Linked DNA regions of Callithrix jacchus. Each later gene encodes a partner of the first gene's protein in a complex. Links are inferred from orthologs where the notes say so. Each region holds a gene or a part of one and is shown in the gene's direction. Other genes may lie near its edges. The genes, in order: PDHA1 and PDHB.

The links.
Region 2: the proteins of PDHA1 (region 1) and PDHB are in contact, whole or in part, in a crystal structure (PDB 3EXE), measured with the Homo sapiens proteins. The link is inferred for Callithrix jacchus from reciprocal best matches to the Homo sapiens genes PDHA1 and PDHB. Residues at the interface, in NP_000275.1 of Homo sapiens: Ile87, Arg88, Gly89, Phe90, Glu137, Leu138, Thr139, Gly140, Gly148, Lys149, Gly150, Gly151, Met153, His154, Asn164, Gly165, Ile166, Val167, Gly197, Ala198, Asn200, Gln201, Gln203, Gly228, Met229, Gly230, Thr231, Arg235, Ala236, Asp296; in NP_000916.2 of Homo sapiens: Glu59, Gln62, Tyr63, Ala66, Asp84, Pro86, Ile87, Ser88, Glu89, Met111, Phe115, Gln118, Ala152, Gly153, Val154, Ala155, Ala156, Gln157, His158, Pro297, Val323, Arg324, Val325, Thr326, Gly327, Ala328, Asp329, Val330, Met332, Pro333.

What each region holds. Positions count from the first base shown.
Region 1 is NC_133524.1:19,824,195-19,828,017, forward strand, and holds part of PDHA1 (pyruvate dehydrogenase E1 component subunit alpha, somatic form, mitochondrial), read left to right. Parts: intron 1-587; coding exon 588-714; intron 715-2,341; coding exon 2,342-2,433; intron 2,434-3,716; coding exon 3,717-3,809; intron 3,810-3,823. UniProt on the Homo sapiens protein: The pyruvate dehydrogenase complex catalyzes the overall conversion of pyruvate to acetyl-CoA and CO(2), and thereby links the glycolytic pathway to the tricarboxylic cycle.
Region 2 is NC_133516.1:40,220,355-40,222,830, reverse strand, and holds the end of PDHB (pyruvate dehydrogenase E1 component subunit beta, mitochondrial), read left to right. Parts: intron 1-973; coding exon 974-1,115; intron 1,116-1,417; coding exon 1,418-1,563; 3' UTR 1,564-1,944; downstream 1,945-2,476. UniProt on the Homo sapiens protein: The pyruvate dehydrogenase complex catalyzes the overall conversion of pyruvate to acetyl-CoA and CO(2), and thereby links the glycolytic pathway to the tricarboxylic cycle.

The sequences.
Region 1 (3,823 bases):
CTATAAACCATTCATTCACACATAACATTGCCAGTGTATATACCTGTTCTTAGGGTTTTACTGTTGTAAAACCTCTGGCATTGTGATCATCCTGTACTCTATACAATTTGGGGAGAAAGGATTCGTTTGTTTGTTTTTTGTTTCGTGGGTTTAGGTCAAGGGTTATAGAATCAAATGCCTTCAAGGGCCAGCCAGGTAGAATAAATCGGTGAATAAGGCTAGGTGTACATGACAAAGAATGGTGACAGGGACTCGTGCTGAACTGGGGCCGGCATTCCCTACCCAGAGGAACGCCATGACTTGGTTCCAGCCGATTGGCGCCGTGTGGAGGTCATGGGTCATGCTTCCTGTTTTTCACGACTCCAAGAGAAGGCGGAAGTCTGGATTTTCATGTAACATTCCCCAGTGTTTTAATGTTGACATCTGATGTAGAATTTTTCTTTTAAGTCATACAGGAGAAAGGAAGTGGCACATGTATGGTCATTAATGACAATTCTACTAGCCCAAATATTTCACTGCTGTCTAGGAAATGTTTTTCTTCAGAACACGTATTGTATGGCCTCATGGTTTCTCCTTCCTCTAACCAGGAAGCTTGCTGTGTGGGCCTGGAAGCCGGCATAAACCCCACAGACCATCTCATCACAGCCTACCGGGCTCATGGCTTTACCTTCACCCGGGGCCTTTCTGTCCGAGAAATTCTCGCAGAGCTAACAGGTTTGCTGTTGATTTGCAGAAAGGGGATATGAGTAGATGAGGTTTTAAAATATTTTCCATTACAATGCTGACTGTTATGAGTTAATATTTGTTAAAAGTTTTAAGTTTCTTTTTTAATTCGCCTTTGGTGCTCTGTTACTTCCGTTGTGCTCCTGAGTTAAATGACCATTTTTGAAGTCCTCTGGCCCCTCAGGTAAAAGTTTAAAAAAGATTAGTGCTATGAAATCACAGTAGGTTTGGTTATCATTCAAGCATGCCAACAGAAGTTTAGCAATCATAGAAAGTAAGTTGGGTTGAGGCACTCCATGGTATGCGATGTAAATTCTAGAAATTTTCATATTCCCCTTTTTGTTTCGTTTTGGTTTCTTTTTTGAGACTGAGTCTCACTCTGTTGCTCAGGCTGGAGTGCAGTGGTGTGATCTTGGTTCACTGCAACCTCTGCCTCCCTGGTTCAAGTGATTCTCGTGCCTCAGTCTCCCAAGTAGCTGGGACTACAGCTGTATGCCACCACGCCTGGCTAATTTTTATATTTCTGGTAAAGACAGGGTTTCACCATGTTGGCCAGGCTGGTCTTGAACTCCTGACCTCAAGTGATCTACCCGCCTCGCCCCCCCAAAGTGCTGGGATTACAGGTATGAGCCACCGTGCCCCACCTGTTTTATTGTTTTTGAGACAGAGTCTTGCTCTGTCTCCCAGGCTGGAGTGCAGTGGCCTGCTTCGCCTCCCAAAGTGCTAGGATTAAGGCATGAGCCACTGCACCCAGCCCTCCTTGACTCTTTTTGTTTGTTTGTTTGTTTTGGAGACAGTTTTGCTCTTTCACCCAGGCTGGAGTGAAGTGGTGTGATCTCAGCTCACTGCAACCTCCACCCCCTGGGTTCAAGCGATTCTCCTCCCTCAGCCTCCCAAGTAGCTGGGATTATAGGTGCCCACCACCACACCTGGCTAATTTTTGTATTTTTAGTAGAGACCAGGTTTCACTGTGTTGGCCAGGCTGGTCTCAAATTCCCGACCTCAGGTGATCCACCCACTTCAGCCTCCCAAAGTGCTGGGATTATAGGCGTGGGCCCCTGTGCCCAGCCCTCCTTGACTATTTAAGTATGGTTGTCCCTCCATATATCCAGGGGATTGGTTCTAGGACCTTCAAGTATACCAAAATCCTCAAATACTCAAGTCCGGAAGTCAGCCTTCCATGTCTTCAGGTTTGCATCCTGAGAATATTGTATTTTTGATCCACGTGCAGCTAAAAAAAAAAATCTGTGTATAAGTGTACAGATGCAGCTCAAACCCTGTTCAAGGACCGAATATATTTAGTGTACCAGTATAGGAGAGGTCCTAAGATGATTGTAACTGGCCAGAAAAACAAGTCCAGCGCACCATCTGGACTTTTGCTAACATCTAAAGGTAACTCGGTGATTAGAGAGTAGGAAAAGCTGGAAAGGTTGAAGCACATGGAACCAGTGGAAGGACAAGGAGAAACATGTGTTTGGCTGGTGGGACAGGTACTTAGACCACTGAATTGGCCTCTGAGTTCTAATGGTGGAGCCTCAGAGTACATACTTGGGGTGCGGTTGGGTTTGCTTCGTAGATTTGGTTTGTGTTGCACATGTGTATGTTCTGCCATTTCCAGGACGAAAAGGAGGTTGTGCTAAAGGGAAAGGAGGATCGATGCACATGTATGCCAAGAACTTCTACGGGGGTAATGGCATCGTGGGAGCACAGGTAGTCAAGGATGGGGGTTGTGTGCTTCCTTAGATTTGGCCCTGGCTTTTGTCGTCAGAAACTTTCCCAGCCCCAGACAACTTTTCCCTGAAGTAGCACAGCCTTGTGCTGCTCAGTGACGCTTTGGTCAGTGTCACGTATACGATGGTAGTCCATGAGAGTCTAATGGAGCTGAAAACTTCCTGTCACCTAGTGATGTTGTAGTGGCACAGCAGATTACCTTTTCTACGTTTAGGTACACAAATATTTTGCCCGCAGGATTCAGTACAGTCATGCTGTGCAGGGTTGCAGCCTAGGTGTGCAGTAGGCTGTACCATCTAGGTTTGTGCAAGTACAGTAAGGTGTTCACACGACAAAATCGCCTAGTGATGTAATTCTGACTATATCCCTGTTTTTAAGCAATGCATGACTGTATTTTGGGGGCTTGGTTTGCCTTTAAAGATCTAGTGCTTCATAGCCCACCATCTGAGAGAGAAATAGACTTGGATGGTGATTTATAATGTTTCCTTTGAGGTGTTTGCTGTTTTCTAAGTAAGCAGGAGCCTCTAGCAGTGGAGCCATACCTTCCCCTTCTTATTTCTATTTCAGTACATTCATTGGTTTATCTTGTCAACTTCATTATGGAGTCCTTGTTCTCATCAGTTAGTGAATGATGAAGAATTAACAGCACAAAATTATATCCAGACTTTTTTTTATTTTCTAACATACTGAGATTCTATTATTTGTTTTCTGGGTTTTTTTTGTTTTTGTTTTTGTTTTTGTTTTTTAAAAGGAGTCTCGCTCTATCACCAGGCTGGAGTGCAGTGGTGTGATCTTGGCTCACCGCAACCTCCGCCTCCCAGGCTCAAGTGATTCTCCTGCCTCAGCTTCCCAAGTAGCTGAGATTACAGGCATGCGCCACCATGCCCAGCTAATTTTTGTATTTTTAGTACAAATGGGGTTTCACCATGTTGGCCAGGATGGTCTCGATCTCTTGACCTCGTGATCCACCCGCCTTGGCCTCCCAAAGTGCTGGGACCGTGCCTGGCCAAGTTTTATATTTTAACTCTTGAATGCAGAAATGTTACTGCTTACTGGTTAAAATAGAACATAGTATTTATGTATTAATTTACTGGTTCTTCGAAAATAATGAGGGTGGGATAAGCAGAGAGATGGATTTGGAAGGAGAGTTTGTAGCAGCAGTGTAATTTCTGTGCCAGATTCTGGCCAGGAGTTAAAATTCAGGGCATTTATATCCCCTCATGGATTTTTGTGGTTCCTTTCTCGGTTGTCCTTCATGTTAGGTGCCCCTGGGTGCTGGGATTGCTCTAGCCTGTAAGTATAATGGAAAAGATGAGGTCTGCCTGACTTTATATGGTGATGGCGCTGCTAATCAGGTAATTATGTCTCT
Region 2 (2,476 bases), on another chromosome or scaffold:
ATTAGATGTAAAACCTTGCTTTGTCACTCATTTCTGTCTCTGTTTCTGGGAACCTGCCTGCATTTCACATACTTTTTACCACTAAGGTCACTTAGGTTCTGGATCTTTTTTTGAGAGACAGGGTTGGAAGCTCTCCGAACCTCTCCTGCTTCTCAGTGATACACACCCCAAGAGAGAGAGAGAGACAGGGTTTTGTTTTGTTGCCCAGGCTGGAGTGTAGCAGCTGGATCATGGCTCACTGTAACCCTGAACTCCTGGGCTCAAGTGGTGCTCCCACCTCACCCTTCTGAGGTTCTGGAACTTTTATACTTGGGCAAGTTATATACTCTAAATCTGTTTCATCAGAAGAAACACTGTAGTAGAAATACTGTCCTGTCATAGGGCAGTTGTGAGAATTATACTTAGTGTAGTGGTTGGTACATAATAGGCACTCAGATGTTAACTGTTACTCATTTTGATGAAGGAATTTAAAGTGAAGGAGGATTGGCTGGGTGTGGTGGATCACCTGAGGTGAGGAGTTTGACCAACTTGGCCAACATGGTGAAACCCCATCTTTACTAAAAACACAAAAATTAGCCAGATGTGGTGGTATATGCCTGTAATCCCAGCTATTCGGGAGGCTGAGGCAAGAGAATGGCTTGAACCCGGAAGGTGGAGGTGGCAGTGAGCCAAGATAACGCCACTGCACTCCAGCCTGGGCAAAAAGAGCAAAACTCTGTCTCAAAAAAATAAAGTGAAGGAGGATAAATGAATCCTATAACTGCACAGAGCTGCTTGTAGTAGACATACAAATCTTCGTTTTAATTAAAATTCTTCCTTTTACAGTTTATACATTCATGTACCTATTCACAGGCAGATTAGATTTTCCTAGATCCAAAGATTAACAGGAAACAAAAAAGGAAATGGTATTATGGGGATAAGGTTCTATTTGTGCTGCGGTCACTCTGTAAAGTTGATTATATTACCTGTTTAGGTGATAAATATGCGTACCATCAGACCAATGGACATGGAAACCATAGAAGCCAGTGTCATGAAGACAAATCACCTTGTAACTGTGGAAGGAGGCTGGCCACAGTTTGGAGTAGGAGCTGAAATCTGTGCCAGGATCATGGAAGGTATTTCAAAGAAACTGGTTCTAGAATAGTCAAGCACAGTAAACATCGTGTACCTGAATACATGATACATGTATGTACAGGATACAGAGATTGAAAGCTAGGGGTGGCCAAATGACTTGAACTTTGAACTTGCAAGTTTGGCATTTCTCCTCAGGTAAATACTTTAAAAGCAAATCCAGAAAGCAGTTCCCCATAATTAGGATTCCTTATGTTTTCTCTTCCTGATCAGCCACACCTCTGTGCCAACGTGGTAGTGCCCAGCTGGCATTTACTCTCTCTCAGTTGAGCCTTCCTTCTTCTAGGTCCTGCATTCAATTTCCTGGATGCTCCTGCTGTTCGTGTCACTGGTGCTGATGTCCCTATGCCTTATGCAAAGATTCTGGAAGACAACTCTATACCTCAGGTCAAAGACATCATATTTGCAATAAAGAAAACATTAAATATTTAGTTTGGACTTGAATATCAAGTCGTTGAAGTTTATTTGAAATACTTGCTGGCATTGCACCTGGATTCAAGACTTTACTACTCATGAAGAAAAACAATCTCTAAAGCAACAGCAGGTGTTTTTGTACAGGGAGGTTTAAATGTGTTTGTGTATGGAAAACTCTCCACTCTCCTGGCCTAGAGGCCATGCTTCCTTTTGTCTGTTACAGTTGCCATGTTCTTTGAATAAAATTGTATGACGTTTTACTCTCTCTCACTCTAAGGACAAAGTATGGATGTGGCAGAGTCCGGATGAAAGATATATCCATATGTATAAAATTAAAGCATATAATCTACTTTACTGTTAGTTTGTTTTGATAAGGAATAAAGGAATTCCTAACTATGACTAATTGTTTGTTTTTGAGACAGGGTCTGGAGTCAGTGATGCAATCTTGGCTCACTGCAACCTCCACCTCCCAGGTTTAAGCAATTCTCCTGCCTCAGCCTCAGAAGTGGGAAATTAGCCACCACATCCAGCTAATTTTGGTATTTTTAGTACAGTGGGGTTTCACCATATTGGACAGGCTGGTCTTGAACTCCTGACCTCAGGTAATCCAGCTGCCTCAGCCTCCCAAAGTGCTGAGATACAGGCATGAGCCAGCCATCACGCCATGACTAATTCTATTTTTATACCAAAAGAATTAGCTTGGCCGGGTGTGGTGGCTCAAGCCTATAGTCCTAGCATTTTGGGAGGCTGAGGCGGGTGGATCATGAGGTCAGGAGATGGAGACCATCCTGGCGAACATGGTGAAACCCCGTGTCTAATAAAAATACAAGAAATTAGCAGGGCATGGTAGGATGCGCCTGTAGTCCCAGCTGCTTGGGAGGCTGTGACAGGTGAATCGCTTGAACTTCGGAGGCAAAGCTTGCAGTGAGCT